4 linked regions of the Schizosaccharomyces pombe genome follow. The gene in region 1 interacts genetically with each later gene. Each region holds a gene or a part of one and is shown in the gene's direction. Other genes may lie near its edges. The genes, in order: swi3, pef1, hus1 and rad9.

Evidence for each region.
Region 2: mutations in swi3 (region 1) and pef1 impair growth when combined (synthetic growth defect), as found in Schizosaccharomyces pombe (2 studies listed by BioGRID, with this or other methods).
Region 3: mutations in swi3 (region 1) and hus1 impair growth when combined (synthetic growth defect), as found in Schizosaccharomyces pombe (2 studies listed by BioGRID, with this or other methods).
Region 4: mutations in swi3 (region 1) and rad9 impair growth when combined (synthetic growth defect), as found in Schizosaccharomyces pombe (2 studies listed by BioGRID, with this or other methods).

Annotation. Positions count from the first base shown.
Region 1 is NC_003423.3:3,089,776-3,094,063, reverse strand, and holds swi3 (replication fork protection complex subunit Swi3), read left to right. Parts: upstream 1-2,207; 5' UTR 2,208-2,536; coding exon 2,537-2,703; exon of another isoform or gene 2,704-2,761; coding exon 2,762-3,140; 3' UTR 3,141-3,205; downstream 3,206-4,288. Other genes in the region: ncb2 (transcription corepressor), read left to right, coding at 1-253; isn1 (IMP 5'-nucleotidase), read right to left, coding at 665-751, 802-1,724, 1,774-1,981; SPOM_SPBC30D10.05C (sepiapterin reductase), read right to left, coding at 3,324-4,067. UniProt on the Schizosaccharomyces pombe protein: Forms a fork protection complex (FPC) with swi1. FPC coordinates leading and lagging strand synthesis and moves with the replication fork. It is required for programmed fork-pausing which is necessary for mating-type switching.
Region 2 is NC_003421.2:685,748-689,815, forward strand, and holds pef1 (cyclin-dependent protein kinase Pho85/PhoA-like Pef1), read left to right. Parts: upstream 1-1,987; 5' UTR 1,988-2,006; coding exon 2,007-2,034; exon of another isoform or gene 2,035-2,085; coding exon 2,086-2,924; downstream 2,925-4,068. Other genes in the region: pgl1 (6-phosphogluconolactonase), read left to right, coding at 154-338, 457-1,045; NatB N-acetyltransferase complex catalytic subunit Naa20, read left to right, coding at 3,821-3,898, 3,956-4,068.
Region 3 is NC_003424.3:4,820,012-4,825,181, reverse strand, and holds hus1 (checkpoint clamp complex protein Hus1), read left to right. Parts: upstream 1-2,478; 5' UTR 2,479-2,603; coding exon 2,604-2,646; exon of another isoform or gene 2,647-2,694; coding exon 2,695-2,803; exon of another isoform or gene 2,804-2,868; coding exon 2,869-2,881; exon of another isoform or gene 2,882-2,935; coding exon 2,936-3,530; exon of another isoform or gene 3,531-3,587; coding exon 3,588-3,691; 3' UTR 3,692-4,195; downstream 4,196-5,170. Other genes in the region: fmp40 (adenylyltransferase), read left to right, coding at 533-2,239; eIF2 alpha kinase Hri1, read left to right, coding at 4,809-5,170. UniProt on the Schizosaccharomyces pombe protein: Essential in controlling the S-M checkpoint that couples mitosis to the completion of DNA replication. It is also required for the response to DNA damage.
Region 4 is NC_003424.3:1,713,052-1,717,892, reverse strand, and holds rad9 (checkpoint clamp complex protein Rad9), read left to right. Parts: upstream 1-2,176; 5' UTR 2,177-2,356; coding exon 2,357-2,461; exon of another isoform or gene 2,462-2,514; coding exon 2,515-2,848; exon of another isoform or gene 2,849-2,905; coding exon 2,906-3,519; exon of another isoform or gene 3,520-3,575; coding exon 3,576-3,803; 3' UTR 3,804-3,973; downstream 3,974-4,841. Other genes in the region: bfr2 (traub family ribosome biogenesis protein), read left to right, coding at 173-182, 225-272, 319-418, 480-1,680; ribosome biogenesis protein rlp7, read right to left, coding at 4,110-4,736. UniProt on the Schizosaccharomyces pombe protein: Acts in DNA repair and mutagenesis. Involved in promoting resistance to ionizing radiation and UV light, as well as regulating cell cycle progression after irradiation. Repressor of entry into mitosis that is activated by chromosome breaks.

The DNA of each region.
Region 1 (4,288 bases):
GGAATTCAAGGAATATATTGCTGAAGCTTTGGAAGTGGCGGCAGAGCATAAAGAACAACAAAAGAATCGTGAGAAGAAAAGTAGCAAATTTGAACAATCCGGTGTATCAAGAGATGAGTTATTGAGACAACAAGAAGAGCTATTAAGCCGAGCCCGTGAGCGTTTTAAAAATCAAAATATTGCTCACGATAATCATACGACAACCGCCATTCCTGTTCCTACCGCATCAGAGACCGAAACAAAAGAAAATTGAGCTAGATGTATTTATGGATATTAAAAATCCGGAATTTGTTTAGAATTTGCTTCTATGGCAAATTATCGTTCATGTCTTAAAGTTACTCTGAAAACTAATCAAGTACATACTGTATCTTTCTTTGAGTTATCACTATTTTTGTCTTCATTTATTTAGAGTTTTTATGATGTGAAATTCATGTATTCAGATTTAATGCTATTCCAAATCTTACATTGCATAATGCGCTATTAAAATTAGCAAAGAAATTGATATCAAAAATCAAAGATTAACAATGTATTGAACGATCATATATCTTTTGATGTCAAAACGCTTATATGGGTATTCATTTTATAAGTATAGTATAGCATTGCTGAAGTATAAGAAGAATATTTACGAATGTGTTTGCAGTATAAGATCTCTCCTCTAATTAAATTACTTTTTTAAAAAAGAGAAATAATAATCTAAAAACTCAATCGTCTCGTGGGGGCTGGATACCCAAACAGTGGTAGCAGCAGCTCTCTTTGAATAGGTGGTTAGTAATCTTCAACAAAAGTTTATTTCAAACTTACCGCTTTATAATCATTGTTACCAGCTGACAAGAATTGATCACCAACATGCAGACAGCGAGAAGGATGGGAAATATTAAAAAAATGCTGAAGGCATAAAACACCCAATTTCTTGTCACCAATATCACACCAAATATCATTTCCACCATTGAAAGCAGTAAAAGGAACTGAGAAATTTCGTATCTGCAACGTTGCTTGTGTCTCCAAAACAGCTTCCTCCAGTTGCTCCCTTCTCAGTTTTTGACCAAGGGAAGGTACAAATCCAACTGATCTTTCTTTACGAACTATTTTTGCATCAATGTTAAGTCCTTGAATGCAAGAACGAAGAGTTTCTTCAGCAGTATCCAAAATTTCGAGAATCTCATCATGAGGCCATGTTTTCATCACGGGAAGCATCCATGAGTCAGCATCCACCCATTGTAAACCATGCAGTGGGTCATAAGCAAATAAGTAATTGCTCTCGCCTCCTAATACATGAAGTTTCCGTTTCTGCCCATCCTTCAAGTCGCTGTCTTCGATTGCCTGCAATAATCCTGAAAATCTATCAGTATACTCCTGGCCAGTACGACTGGGATAGCCAGCAGCAGTAAGAATGATGACATAGATCCCCCTCGAAAGTAACTGAATCAAACGGGATATAACAGGATTGTCAGGAAGCAAAGGCTGCCCATCTTCGTACAGAGTTACATCTCCATCAAAACTGACCATATCCAAGCCATTATCCGCAAGGTAATTCAATTGAGCACCTCCTAATATTGCCCTGACATCGTTAAAACTCGGTGCCACAAAGCTTCGTTTAGCTAGACAAAGCTTTGGTTCCAACGCGTACATAGCTTTCACTAATGGCAAAGGTGTCCAAAATATGGTGATCGATGGAACAAGCATCTTTAACTGGCTATAGGATCCACCTTCTGAAACTATTTGAACTATCAATGAGAAAGGTTAGAAAATTAAAAGAATGAAGGGGAAACTTACTATGAGCCTCAATAAGTTTTTCCACATCTCTTAAAATTACAGCGTAACGCTCAAGCGTTTCCTGCTCTTTTTCGCGCGTTACTAGTTTCTGTGAAGGGGTTCCTGCCTGTAAAACAAAAGGAACTGACAACAAACCTTTAATCCATTCAATAAAATCGTCCTTCCGATGTTGCTTTAACGCATACTCAACACGATATCTAGAAGCCATTGCCTAAACCTTTAATGACAAACACTTATTCAAAAAAAGAAATCTACACGAATGCAAGAAATTTGAAGGAAAGTATGTTAATTGAAAGAGAAAGGGTAAAAGTTGCTTTATTATGCTTTCCGAAACGATTCAAAAATGATTACGTTGAGAATTGTTATACTAGTATTAGCAGCGAGCACTATCACTCAAATACGTCTATCACAATTCCAAAAATTAGCTATAATTTATGAGCATTCTTAACAAAATTTTATAAAAGTATATAGTCCAGGTGTAACATGAGCCTTCTGAACTATTCTTCCTCTACACATTTCTAATCCGCGTTAAATAAGGAATTTTCTTTCATTAGTAAATTATAAACCTTTCTTGCTGCGCAGTTAAATTTGAAAGGTTCTATTCGCTTTTCATTAGCAGTAAAGTCAATAGTACATAGAAAAATTGCTAGATTAACAGAACTTTTGAAGCGAAACAGCAAGCAAATCGATATTTATTGCATTCACTAACTCTCTTTTGCGAAACATACAAGCAAATATATATTTTAAAAAAACACCATAAGAAATGTCTACAGCTGCTTCTGATTCAGGTGTTGAAAAACTCGTCGAGGAAAACAAAAGGGAAGAGGTGAAAAAGAATGAAGAAGAAAAAGAATTTGATTTAGGGTTAGAAGAAAATCCAGATTCTGTAAAAAAACCTCGCAAACGGTTGGCAAAATTTGATGAAGAAAGGTAAGAATTTGGTCGGTTTTCGGAAAATAATTATTGACCACTCGTTTTCCCTATTTAGATTGATTTCTGAAAATGGAATTCCAAAATTAAGGAAAATGATGCGCAAAGTTAAGTTAAAAGGAAAGGGTCATGAGGCAAAAGACTTAAAACAACTATTGGGAATGTATCATATATGGACTCATGAGTTATATCCAAGAGCCACGTTTGATGACTCAATATCGTATCTTAAAACTCTAGGAAAACACAGATCCGTCAAGGTTCGACGTCGTGGTTGGATTAATGAAATTGCTGTTGAAAATGGTTCGGACTCTAATGCTTCATTATTTACTGGTCCATCTTCCAATTCATTAGTGAATTTGACGAGCGGAGATCCATATGTTCAAGATACAGCTGATGATGCTTTTGTCGCCCAAGACAACGATACCCAATTAGAATAGTCACCATTAATGAATGATTGAGATGTTGTTGCAGCTTTGTTTATCAATATTAGTAATCATGATCATTTTTTGGGACTATTTTCAGCTACTTTTATTTGATGTAATGTTTAATTTATTCATTTTGTTTTATTTAAACGAACAATTGTAGCCTCTAACTCCGAAATTCAATAAACTATAGAACATCTAGACAAATGATTTCCATTCTACGAATTGACCAGTAAGCTTTGGATTGTTATTCAAGGCTAGAAAAGAAAGAGCTTTGGCGATGTCCTGAGGAGCCACAAGTTGACCGGATGTTTTAAGTTCTTTGAAAAAATTATGAGTATCTCCACCCATGGCTTCTTTATTGGAATCATTACGGATACTAACTTGCATAGGGGTATCAACAACTCCCGGACGTACTGCCACACTCATTATATCAGGCTCCTCGCTGCCAAGGTTCATGACTAGCATGTTGATGGCGGCCTTTGAGCAACAATATGCAGCCCACGCGGGAAAAACACGAACAGCAGCGCCAGAGGATACAATCACAATAGTACCCTTGGTTTTACGCAAATGCGGGATTGCATACTTCACTGTTTCAACCACACTGAAAAAGTTGATATCAAACAACTTACGCCATTCATTGATATCTGCATCAGCGATTTTGGCTATAGGTTCAAGGACACCTGCATTTAGAATAACCGAGTCCAATTTTCCAAACTTTTTAATAGCAGTTTCGATACTAGCTTTTCCAACCTCCGTAACGTCACCCTTCACGTGAACAAATGAGTCAGGATTTTGAATAAGCAAAGTTTCTAGTTCTGGGGTCAAGGACCTACTAACAGCAATAACCTTGGCCTTCTTCTGTAGAGCTTCTGCAGTAGCCAATCCAATACCCTTAGAGGATCCAGTCAACAAAATAACTTTTTCAGCGGTTTCGGCCATAATGCTTTTATAGAAATTTATAGAAATGTAGGGTGTGAATTACTTTAGTGTAAAGCCAGATTGTGGAACTGAGGAAATATGTTAGCTATGCTATGATTTATATCATGATGCCAAGATAACGAGGTTCCGTATAATCACAATAAAGTAACCGATATAATCTTAATTTTGCTTATTTATTCACGAAAGGAATTGTTATATGGTATTAAAAAACGAAAGTAATG
Region 2 (4,068 bases), on another chromosome or scaffold:
ACATTACTATACTCGAAAACTGATTTAAGATTTGTTCTGTTCTAAATTTCCGACTACCGAATGAATTACGACACTCCACCTTGTTTCGTTAATACTACTCCATTACTAACAATTGCGCAAATACTGAAAGCAAACCAGAACCAAGTAGAAAAAATGTCGGTTTACTCATTTTCAGACGTTAGTTTAGTTGCAAAGGCACTTGGTGCATTCGTTAAAGAGAAAAGTGAAGCTTCTATTAAAAGGCATGGCGTGTTCACTTTAGCTCTTAGTGGAGGAAGTTTACCAAAGGTTTTGGCTGAAGGATTGGCTCAACAGAGAGGTATCGAGTTTTCCAAATGGTAAGTTAACAGATATTATATACTTTTGAGTTGTATGGATTCACTGTGGTTTTGTTTAGCTTTGGTTGACGTGAAACACTCTGTCTTAAGGCAATTTATGATTAACAGCTCTATTTAGGGAAGTTTTCTTTGCTGATGAAAGAATTGTTCCTTTAGATGATGAAAACTCAAATTATGCGCTCTGTAAAAAGTTGATTTTTGACAAGTTTGAAGGATTTGACCCTAAAAAAATTCATACCATCAATCCTGAGCTTTTGAAAGAAAATCCTATTGACCCTCAGAATGTTGCTGATGAATATGAAAAACAATTAGTGCATGTGTTTGCAAATAGCTCCACTGTTAAGGTCCCTGTGTTTGATTTACTGCTGTTAGGATGCGGTCCTGATGGCCATACATGTTCTCTATTCCCCGATCACGAGGTACTCCAGGAAGACGTTGCTTGGGTGGCCCCAGTCACTGATTCGCCCAAACCCCCTAAAGACCGCATCACTTTGACTTTACCGGTTGTCACACATGCTCAAGCCATTGCCTTTGTTACCACAGGTGCTGGTAAGAAGGATATTTTGCCTATTGTCATTGAGGATTTTACATCTAAACTTCCAAGTGCGCTGATCACTCGAAACAATTTGACTCGTACAAGCTGGTTTGTGGATGATGAAGCATCAGCCAATCTTGAGAGATCCTCTTTGAAGGTTTTCCCTCAATAGGCAGTTCAATTTAAGCAGGTGGCCTTTAGAATGCTTAATTGCTACATGCTTCGGATTCATTACTTGTTTCTTTAAGGTCTTTCAAGGGAAAGGTTGCAGTTCTCTTTTGTTGTTCGTGAGATTCTTTGCATAAACGCTTTAGATAATGACTTTCAAAATGCTTTCAGTCACTTCCGTGGAATGCTTGATGACCAGTTTTAACACATGTTAGTAGATTAGGAGAGAACTTGTTCCTCAAATCCTCTTTGCATTTGTTGTCTGTTTTTTATTTTAGACTAGCGTATAAAGGTTAGTCTTGTAAACAATGTGTAAGAAGCTAATGCTTTATTAAATTGTTTTATTGCTTCGTTTAGAATCATGTTTAGTTGATTGATATCACTGGCCAAACCCACACTGCAGAAATATGATGTTTTAATGAAGAAATGAATCATTGAAATATATAAACTTAAGCTATCTTGTATCATTTTTTGTTGGTGATAATGTTCTAAAATGTGTTTCATCAACAAGATAAAGTAAACCAATTGTTTTTGAATTGCAGTGATATAGTTTAGCTTCAATTCTTTTATTAAATCATTAATTCATTTTTAAAATTATGCAAAATTACGGCATTTTCTCATACTGCTTATGATAGATTTTAAGCAAAGATGGAAATTTATATCCAAAAACATGCAATTGCTTAAACTCTCCTTTATGTAAGGGTTTATTAATACTTATGTGTTTTCTACAGATGGCAACCTTCTGATTAATTATCATTAGGTTAATTTGTGATAGAAGCTGTAGTGATCTTAATTACAATAGTTTACATTATAGCAAGATGTTCGACATGACTCAATAGACTAAAAATTTTTTTTCTTAGCATATTCTTCAAAACTGTAGGTCTTAAAAACAGTTTTGTTAGCTTAACATCACCTTAAGTCGTTAGTCATCGTAGAGGAGGCACTTGATATTTCCATCGCACAACATGAACTACCAAAGGCTTGAAAAGTTAGGTAAGTATGAGTTTGAGGTCCCAAAATTTGCAATTTCATTAACTTAAGTAGGAGAGGGAACATATGCGCATGTTTATAAGGGGCAAAATCGAGTGACTGGTGAAATTGTCGCTCTCAAAGTTATTCGTATTGATGCAGATGAAGGAACACCTAGTACTGCTATCCGTGAGATTAGTCTTATGAAGGAGCTTAGGCATCCCAATATTATGTCTCTCTCAGACGTTTTGCAAACCGAAAATAAGCTTATGCTCGTTTTTGAATATATGGAAAAAGATTTGAAAAAGTACATGGACACTTATGGGAACCAAGGAGCTCTTCCACCTTCTCAAGTAAAAAATTTTACTCAACAATTACTCAAAGGGATATCTTTTTGTCACGAAAACCGAGTTCTACATCGTGATCTGAAACCTCAAAATTTGCTTATCAACAGTCGTGGTGAATTGAAATTGGCGGATTTTGGGTTAGCCCGTTCAATTGGAATTCCAGTGAATACTTTTTCAAACGAAGTGGTCACCTTATGGTATCGTGCTCCTGACGTTCTTTTGGGTTCTCGAGTATATTCAACTTCCATTGATATTTGGTCAGTTGGTTGTATCATGGCAGAAATGGCTACAGGACGTCCTCTATTTGCTGGGTCAAATAATGAGGATCAGCTACTAAAAATCTTCCGATTATTGGGAACTCCTACTGAACAATCATGGCCCGGAATTTCTTTACTTCCTGAATATAAGCCTACTTTCCCTATTTATAAAGCACAAGATCTCGCCTACCTATTTCCAACATTTGATCCTCTTGGTTTGGATTTGTTACGACGGATGCTTCGTCTACAACCTGAATTAAGGACGACCGGCCAGGATGCGCTTCAACATGCTTGGTTTTTAACCGCATAGGCTGTAAATTAACATCAAAAAGTTTAACCAAATTACGATTTTATTTATTCATTTCAGTTTCCTATTGAAATCATTAATTTTTTTTTTGGAAAGAATGCATTTCACCTAGGGAAAGAGCACAATATTTTTGGACGTTCAAATTTCTTCGCAACTGTTTTAGCCCAAGTAGCTATCCCTATTGATCTTTTTTAAACGAGGTTTAGAGGTAAATATTTGGTTATTATTTTGAGAGGATTTGAAGCTGTCGAATATATTTTTAGCCAAGAATTAAACGGCGTTTTATTTTCTACGATTAAAATATCGTCGCTGATGACATTCAAGTCGTAAATGAAATACTTAAAGAATTGAATGATCCGCATTGCGTCTGACATTTTTATGAAGGAGCAAAAGGATAATATTCAAAAAGCAATGCGGGTTTTTAGTATACTGATAATAATTTGCGGATTTCAAGCAATTATCCGCAATGCACATGAAAAACAATCTTTTTTCACTTATTTTTATTAGTGGATTAATGGCTTCCTTCCCTATTATTTAACTGCATGAAGGGATTCTCTATTAATGTTCTCTTTAACCATTCGACATTTTATGTGGTTTCTGTCGTTCATTATTCTTTTTATTTACTTTCATCTATACTCCATCTTTTCAGTTTTGAGGCATCAATGGTAGGAGGTGACTAAATTTCTTTGAGTTTCGTTTAGGAAGAAGGTTCAATTTGTAAACATGAAATAATAATTGTGTCTTTTACAATTTCTTTTGAGTTTTTCTACTCGCTTGGCCCAGCAATCTATTGTTTAAGGAGATATACGGATTTGGCTTATCGTATTTTTACGACATCTTCTACCTCGCCAAATCTTTTAGTTTTACCCATACTGCTAGAATTTACATTACATGAAAAAATGACTGATACGCGAAAATTCAAAGCTACTGATTTATTTTCATTTAACAATATAAATTTAGATCCTCTAACGGAGACCGTAAGTTACCATCTACCGTACTTAAAGCGGACTTTCATTAACTCGAACAACTTTTAGTTCAATATTTCATTTTATCTCAGTTATTTGAACAAATGGCCTAGCTTGTGTGTTGTACAAGAGTCTGACCTATCTGATCCAACCCTTATGGGTTATATTATGGGGAAATCAGA
Region 3 (5,170 bases), on another chromosome or scaffold:
AGCAATCATAGAGAAATTAGTTCTACGCAGTTTCCACCACTAGCTGAAATGTTTGAGTGCCTGGGTGCTTGCAGGTTTTTATTCATCTACTTCAAGTATGGTATAGTAAGTAAGCTTAGTTTTATTTTCTCAGTTCCGACTTTTTAATTCTGTAGATTTCATCTACCACTATTTAGTCATTGAAATTGTTACAAATATTCCTCTATATATAATGATTCTGCATTCCTAAAAATGCTAATTAACAAATTACGAAATCCAACGATCTACAAAGTAATGCCATTCCATATTAATATAACAATTGCTGTTCATTCGCTATCATTTTAAAATGATGTTTTCATTAGTTTGCTCATTGATCACATAGCATGTATTTTACCAGCTATTTTCAACGTACTAGTCTACTTGATCTGTTATTGATCAAATGTAAGTGAATTGCTGCTTTTATTGTTATTATAATCAATAAAGTAAGCAAATTTACACTGGGGCACAATCAAACATTGGTATGCAAAGAACATTAATTCGATATACCAATACGATGTCAAAAAAATTGAAGGATCTCCCTGTCAGCTCAACGTTCACATCAAATCTTCCGCCTGATCCACTGGTACCGACCGTACAGGCAATGAAAAAGGCTGATGACAGAATCTTACATGTTCCTCGATTTGTGGAAGGCGGCGGCTTATTTACTTATTTGACTCCATCACTAAAAGCCAATTCTCAATTATTAGCTTATAGCCCTTCGTCCGTGAAGTCATTAGGACTCGAAGAATCTGAAACTCAAACTGAAGCTTTTCAACAGCTTGTTGTCGGTTCTAACGTTGATGTCAATAAGTGTTGTCCTTGGGCGCAATGTTATGGAGGATACCAATTTGGGGATTGGGCAGGTCAGTTGGGTGATGGCCGCGTAGTATCCTTATGCGAACTTACCAACCCGGAAACTGGAAAACGCTTTGAGATTCAAGTCAAAGGCGCAGGAAGAACACCATACTCTCGATTTGCAGATGGAAAGGCTGTTTTAAGATCTAGCATTCGAGAATATTTATGTTGTGAAGCTTTATATGCTCTAGGCATTCCAACAACACAGGCTCTGGCAATTTCCAATCTTGAAGGTGTTGTAGCACAACGTGAGACTGTAGAGCCTTGCGCCGTTGTTTGCCGTATGGCCCCTTCTTGGATCAGAATTGGGACTTTCGATCTCCAGGGGATTAATAATCAAATTGAGTCTTTACGGAAATTAGCCGACTATTGTCTAAATTTCGTTTTAAAAGATGGATTTCATGGTGGAGATACTGGAAATCGCTACGAAAAACTTCTTCGAGATGTTGCATATCGAAATGCTAAAACTGTAGCCAAATGGCAAGCATATGGATTTATGAATGGTGTTTTGAATACTGATAATACCAGTATACTGGGACTATCAATTGATTATGGACCTTTTGGATTTTTAGATGTTTACAACCCATCTTTTACACCTAATCATGACGATGTATTTTTGCGATATTCATATCGCAACCAACCTGATATTATTATTTGGAATTTATCAAAATTAGCATCTGCTTTGGTTGAGTTAATTGGAGCTTGCGACAAAGTTGATGACTTGCAATATATGGAACAACTTCATAACTCTACTGATTTGTTAAAAAAGGCGTTTGCTTATACTTCTGAAGTTTTTGAAAAGATAGTAGAAGAGTATAAAAATATTGTCCAGAATGATTTCTATGATCTTATGTTCAAACGAGTGGGTCTTCCCTCTGACTCATCTAACAAAATTCTGATAACTGATTTGTTACAAATTTTGGAGGATTATGAATTGGATATGCCAAATTGTTTTTCCTTTCTTTCTAGAAACTCTCCCTCTTCAATGGAGAATGAAGAATATGCTGCAAAATTGATGCAAGCATGTATTTGTCTAAACCCGAATAATGAAAGAGTTAGAAATGAATCTGTCAAAGCTTTCACTAATTGGGTTGGTCGATATAGTGAAGCAACGAAAACTCAGGAAGATTCATCCCGATTAGCGAGCATGAAAAAAGTCAACCCACATTTTACTCTTAGAAATTGGGTTCTTGAAGAGGTGATTAAAGAAGCATACATCGGGAAATTTGAGCTTTTTAAAAAAGTGTGTAAAATGGCTGCCTGTCCGTTCGAAGATACTTGGGGGTTTTCCAAGGAAGAAGAGGATTATTTATGCTATAACACTACTCCCTCCAAAAGCCAAATTCAATGTTCCTGCTCTAGCTAGAACCCTTCTTACTTGCCATTTATTTTTTTAATGTAATTTAAAATTTAGGAATAGCTAATCGTATGAAATAAATGATACAACGAATAGGCTCTTGAGTATAATTTTTTTTAGACTCTAAGACTTTTGTAAATCTTTTTAAATTTTATTCATTAATTTTATTCCACTTGCCATTAAAATTTGCATTTGCTTAATAAAGATTGCGATGCAGTTGCTAATGCCCAGTTTGCTATTTCTTAGCTGGCTTTTACGCGTTCGTAGTTTTTTCGACCGAAAATTTATTATTGGTCGACTTTAACCTGCTAAACGCTTGAATAAACAAAATGCCAAAAAATCTCAATCTCATTAGTTAAATCAAAGACTGAAAATGAGATTTAAAACAAGGATTAGCAACTTGTACACGTTGACGCGTAAGTTGGAAAAGATCAGCAGAAAGTTCGTTTACTAATCAAATTTAGGTCTTGTTCAGGCGCTAGATAAAATTGGAAGATTTTGCTGGCTTCGTCTGATGCCTGAAACTGTAAATTTTGTGATAGTGCCAGATTTTAGGATGACTCAAGTTTGGTCGTAAGTGAAGATATTAAGCATTTAACGGTGAAAAAAATCACATTGTGAAACTAATAAAGAAACAGAGTTTTAGAAGTCGTATGATTAACTATCTTTTTCTATTTGATTGCCCTAACTAACGTAAACGGAAAGGAAACAATATTTGAGGACTATGTCGTCCAAAGCAATGCAGACAACGTGATAAATCTAGAAGTTCCTATAGATAATTTCTATAAAGCCTTACGATCAGCGGCCAACGCTAGTGATTCTACTGTTCGTCTATCCAAGAAGAATAACCAGCCATTACTTTCGTTGTCTACCACTTGGAGTGGAAGGGCGTTTGGTTCGAATATTGTGACTCATAATATACCTGTTCGAGTACTATCACAATCATACGTGTCAGTTATTAAGGAACCAACTGCTCCTGAACCAGACTGTCATATATTCCTTCCACAACTGAATTTTCTAAGACACGTCGTGGACAAATACAAGAGTCTTTCAGACCGTATTATAATGTCAGCCAACATGTCAGGCGAATTGCAGTTATCGGTAAACATACCTTCAGCTAGAGTAAGCACAAAATGGAAAGGATTAGAGAATCCAGAGTTAGATCCTAGTCAAGTCGAAGACATCAGTCGACATCCCTCTCAAACAAGGGCACCCGAAGAATTTGTTCACATGAGACTAGACAGCAAGGACTTAGTCAACATGTTAAAAATATCCAGTGTTGCAAAGCGTGTAATAGCGTGTATGTACTATGAGAGAATCCTTTTTATGACCACGAACTAACCTTTTTACATTACAGGTTTCTGTGAAGGACATGCGCTAGTACTTTATGTTTATATAACAGATCCAGAAGATGAACATACGGCTGTTTTAACATACTACATTAGTACCTATGTGGACTAAGGTTACTTCAATTTGTTTATGATTTGATTTAATTAACGAATAATTGTTATGAGTGACTAGCCACATTTTTAATGTACATTAAAATGAAAAGAGATTAATCAACATCTACCATGCTTATACTTATTTTCTCTCTCTTCCTTTATCGATCTTACCGTTCTTTTTTATTTATTTTATACAGTTGTTGTAATCTCGGCAACTCAGTGTTTTACTATTCCGTTGATATCTCTTAAAAGGATAACACCAAAAAGAAATATAATGTTCAAGTCACAGAAAATCTGTTGATAAAATCCATATGTTTTCACGTTTTCAATGAGAGATACATACGATTAAACACAAACGTATGTTTTCAAGCAATTAACTTGAATATGAATAAACCTTGGTTCATCTTTCTTTAATCTTTTAGACAAGCAACTGTTCAGAAATCTATAAAGTCTCAATTGAACATTTAAGTGCTCAATGGGAAATATATACTTAATAAAAATTGAATATTTTAATCGTTTTTTTGAGAAGATATATGCCATTGACTGTAGCTTCTATTAATTTCCGCCTATTCTTTCTTGTACTTTGGAGGCATCGCTATACATTTTACGTAGAAGTGATGAAAATGGCGAGTTCCTCTTTAAAAGTGCGAAAATTTCAGGCTGTCTGTCATCGGAATTGACTATGTTCGATAGTTATTCCTCCTCCGATGCAGTCGGCTACACATGTAAACTGTACCAACATTCAGTACGAAAGGGGCTGAACGTTGTTACCTAGAAAAGTTGGTATCGCAATAGAGGTAACGATAGTGAAAATCCCACAATAACTTAAATATGGAGAGGTATCCGGGGAAATCCGCTACATAAACAACACATATACAGACATATAAATTGACTTAAACGTACCTTCTTTCTATAATAGTTTTACCGTTCCTTAATTGCAAATTCTTTCTTGTTTTCATAGATAGCATTGTTACTATTATTGTTATATATTCAATATAGACTGATAATTAGGATTGTACATTTCGTTTCATTTAGAGAAAAAAAAAAGGAATAATTTTCATGTTTTAAATTACTCATCTTATTCAATTCTTCTTTCTCTTTTCTTATTTGCTTTGATTTGATTCATTCACACAAGAATGCTCGGCACTTCTACTAAATGTTCGAAAAGGGATTGCAACTATGCCAAGGAAAATATCAGTCGGATTATGCCGACAATTGGTCTCGGTTACAAACAGAATTTCGAAAAAAAAACCGCGGATACTCAAAGTTCCTGCAAGTTGCTTCTCGTTGCGTTGTTAGAAAGCTTTTGTAAGCATTCTGATCAAACTCCAGAGCAATCGAAGCAAATGTTTTTATATGTTGCTCATTCGCTTCAAAATTCAGGTATCATAGATTTTGAGTTCTCCGAGGAGCTTGAACCAATTCGTAATGCTTATGCCGATTCTCTTCATAACCTCTTATCTAAAGCTTTTCGGAGTACCTTACCCATGAGCTCTAC
Region 4 (4,841 bases), on another chromosome or scaffold:
TCATAAAAACCATATTATTTATTTCAAACAAAGTAATATAACCTCGTCTGTACTAGCTGAATCCGATAAATGCCTTCAAACTTCATTCTTATATTTATTTCATACAATGATAATTTTGCTAACCCACACCCCTTCACTTACCCAGTCCCAGACACATCAAAATTTGCTCAAAATGGGTAAAGGTAAGTTCAATAAGATATTTTTAGGTTCTAATAAATCTTTAGTTTCTTTAAAAGATGAATTGGCAGGGATGCTAAACCCTCAACCGCAGGGTATGTTATTAACGAAAAATTCCGGGATTCTTACTCACATAAATAGAAAGAGACCCTGAAGCTTTAGAGGACGCATTCTCTGATAGAGAGGACTCTAGCGAAGAAGAAAACGATACCTTAGGGAGAGAACATTATGTTGATGTTAGGTATGTTCAAAATTTTTACTTTTGCGTATTTGAGCTTATACTAATGTTTCATATTTTATAGTGAAAGTAAATTACGCTCAAAACAGGCTCCTCAGTTAGACCCAAAATTTAAAGGAAGAAAAACGTCTCGCCAGGAATTACTTAATAGCGGTTCTTTAAACTCTCAATCTTCATCACCATCTGAAGAAGAAGATTCGGAGGAAGACGAAAATGATGCAGTTTCAGAAGATCACGAAAATTTTTCAAGCTCAGAAGCTTCATCAATTTCTGAGGAAAATGAAGATGACGACCAATCTTCTGCCATTCCTGAAAAAGACATGGATCGTTTAAAAAAGATTATAAATGGAGAGAAAAAGCTATCTGATCAAATTCGTACATCCGCCCTTGAAGACATGAAAAAGGGTTTAGCTTTGAAGGAGCAGATGCGTTTTTACGATAATGTTTTAGATACTAGAATCCGTCTTCAAAAAGGATGTAGTCAACTTCTTTCTTCCAGCAACCAACTTCAAGGTGATAAAGTAGAAGCCCGAGATGGTTTAGTATCTTTTATTCAACACACTTTACAGCTGAGGAAAAACTTACTTATTGACTCTGGAGTGGAAATTCTTGACAGTAGATCAAAAAGAAAAGAGAATCCTGTTAGTCTAGAAGAAATTGCTTTAGAAATGAATAACCTTGACGACTCTTTGAATGAGTGGAAAAATGATACTTTAACCAAATGGCATAATCGGGTTCAAGCAGTGCAAGGGATTTCGCAATCTAACAAATTCAAGGCTCTAAATCAAAGTATTGTTCAACAAATCGAAAATTCTATGATTAACAAGAAAGATTTGGTCGAGCGCACTAGAATTGATTACAGTGACCCTAACAACAAAACTTTCAATCCCGAAATTTACAACGACACGGATTTTTATCAATCATTATTGAAGGATTTCATTAATTCTAGAATGGCAGACTCTACTCGAGATGGCACTGTTCGTTGGATGGCTACAAAAAAGCAAAAACAGAAGAAAGAAAACGTTGATACTAAGGCATCCAAAGGTCGAAAAATAAGGTATCACGTTCATGATAAATTACAAAATTTTATGGCTCCCATTGAAGTGACTGTATGGCCGGATGAACAAACTGAAGATTTGTTTAGTAGTCTGTTGGGTCAACAATTAGATTTATCAGAGACAGCTAATGATACAAATACTTCAAACTTCGTGGAGAAGGATGATGAACTGATCTCTTCCAACGACGGATTTTCTCTCTTCGGTTGAAAATAAGCTTGTGCGTGTTGGATAAGCTTCACTATTTGTCTTTTTTTTAATATACGCAAGCTGTGCTAAACATTTAGGGTGCATGATTATTTTTACTTACAGTATATCTTTTTTCGGTTTTAAAAAGGGCATTCGCGGATTTTGGTTCTATTATAATATATTTCGTTTACAATTATTTAGGTTAATAAAAAAATTTAACATATATATGGTTACATAGATGGTCACAATGTCGGGCAATTACAAGTAATAAAGGGTTATCTTGGGCTGAAGGTTTTAGTTTTTGTGCACTTTAGTATTTTAAGCATAAAAGTATGTACGTTTATATGATGTACAGTTGAACTCTTTCTGCTGCAAATTAAAAGCAGCTATAAGTTTCTTCTTATTACAATTCATTGTGTATATACAGATTATTTTGCGATTGATGTTGGCCATTACACTTTCGTACAAATTTCGGCGCGCGTGTCTATACTAATATAAGTGCGTTAAAGCAGGTGCTAGAAAACACCACATTATAGATTTACCTCTGTATATACCAGTTTCAATTCTGTTTGTCAAAAATTGTCGAGATTTATTTACTTCTATTAGCATGAATTAAGAAATTAATCGTCATATCGACTAGAAACTATCGTTATTCGTTCAGCATTCGTCTACATCAATTCACGTACTGGTATATAAAATGGAATTCACTGTTTCAAATGTTAATCTTCGGGACCTCGCAAGGATCTTTACAAATCTTTCTAGAATCGATGATGCTGTCAACTGGGAAATTAACAAAAATCAGGTGTGTTGGAACTTTTTTCAAACCTTACTAAACATTGAAACTAATTGGTAAAGATAGAGATTACATGTTTAAATTCTTCTAGGTCAGGATTTAGCATGGTGACTTTAAAAAAGGCATTTTTTGACAAGTACATTTTTCAGCCGGATTCCGTCCTGTTGACGGGATTGATGACTCCTACAATACGTATTCGTACGCAAGTCAAGCCCATACTATCTGTGTTTAGAAACAAAATCTTTGATTTCATCCCGACTGTCGTCACTACCAATAGCAAGAACGGTTATGGCAGTGAATCTGCAAGCAGAAAAGATGTGATTGTCGAGAATGTTCAAATCTCAATCTCTACTGGTAGCGAGTGTAGGATTATATTTAAATTCTTATGCAAGCACGGTACGTAGTTTGTCCGTCTTATTATTTTATTTGCTCTACTAACGTTTATTCATCAAGGAGTGATTAAAACATATAAAATATCATATGAACAAACCCAAACTTTACACGCTGTTTTTGATAAATCTCTTAGTCACAATAATTTTCAAATAAACTCAAAAATTCTAAAAGATTTGACTGAACATTTTGGTCAGAGAACGGAAGAGCTTACAATTCAACCACTTCAAGAACGTGTTTTACTTACAAGTTTCACAGAAGAGGTCGTACATAATAGAGATATTTTGAAGCAACCTACCCAAACAACTGTTTCCATTGATGGTAAAGAATTTGAACGCGTCGCACTTAATGAGGGAGTCTCTGTTACCCTTTCTCTACGTGAATTTCGTGCTGCCGTCATTTTAGCAGAGGCATTGGGAAGCTCGATTTGTGCATATTACGGTGTCCCAGGAAAACCGATACTTTTAACTTTTGCAAAAGGGAAAAATTCCGAAATTGAAGCGCAGTTCATTCTTGCAACTGTAGTTGGATCAGATGAACAAGAGGTGTCATCTATGATGGGAAATAGATGGCAGCACAGTTCAACACCAGCTTCTCTGTTCAATTCAGTAGAGCGCAACAACTCATTGACTGCTGTAGCACATAATCCCCCTGGATCTATTGGATGGCAAACTGATGTATGTAATTCGGCTTTAGTACTAAGTACAATAATTTATTAACATTAACTTTATAGCAAAGTGACTCATCCAGAATGTTTAATTCTGCGCTTGACCGAAGCGACGAAACTAATGGCATTAAGGAGCCATCAACCACAAACGATGCTGGTCAATCATTGTTCTTAGATGGTATTCCTAATGAATCCGAGCTTGCTGCTTTTAATAATGATGTGAACGATGATGCCGAATTTGGACCAACGCAAGCTGAACAAAGTTATCATGGCATTTTCTCTCAGGAAGACTAGGAAAATCCTTCTTTGCTATGGTGTGTAAAATTATGAACATTTACAGGTGCTTGTGACAACCTCATAAAACACAGCACTCATATTATATAATGTACAATATTTATCAATAATTTAGTTTTTTTTAACTACAAAATTACCCTCATCATACGATACGTTACATAGTAGTTCTAATAAATCAATAAGATAGTGAATAATGTAACCCAATTAATTAAATTCCAATCCACGGCCTATAAAAAGTCTAATATACATTTTTGCATTTTCATCTGAATGCAAAATTTAAGTCATTACACGAACTCAAAGAAAGTTTTAAACTTGTTTCTTAATCAATTCGTTAATTTCTTCTCCACAATAGCCAGCCTTTCGACCCTCATTAAAATGTTTGACCTTTTTCTCCATCAAACTGTGTTTAACTGGAGTCAAAGTGAATGGCCATAAGAATTTAGTAACTTCCTTAAAATGAGAGCCTACATTGTAAATTTCATGAATGATATCTTCAATGGAAATAACATCATATTTGCCCAAGGCCTCCTCAATTAATGCATTATCAGAGAGAGCAATACGCTGACCATTGATCTTACCAAAGCCACGTTTATAAATGAGTTCACGAACAGAATGTAAATTGGGAATACCATACATAACATAAGGTTCGACGATTCGAAGCATTTGAGCAACGGCTTTATTATTTCGCACAAAAACGGCATTGTTAATTCGAGAAAGGCGTAATAAGCGCAGAACTTTGCGAATTTTAGGAGGCATATTCTTGACTCCGGCAATTCGAATAACGAAAAGAAGTTTTGTTTCATCAGGCACGAAAATGTCTCCTTTATTTTTCGCAGATCGATTTAACCTAATCCGTTCTCTTTCTCGTTGGCGGTAGTTATTAATAAAAGTCTCAGCCCTTTTGAAGGTTTCTTTACGATTTTTCTTCTGGGCCTGGAGTAAAATTAGTAAAATGTTTTTAACAATATATAAAAATTGATGAAGTCAAAGGTTTAAATTTAACCAATACAAAATATATGAATCAGCCGAAAGATGGTA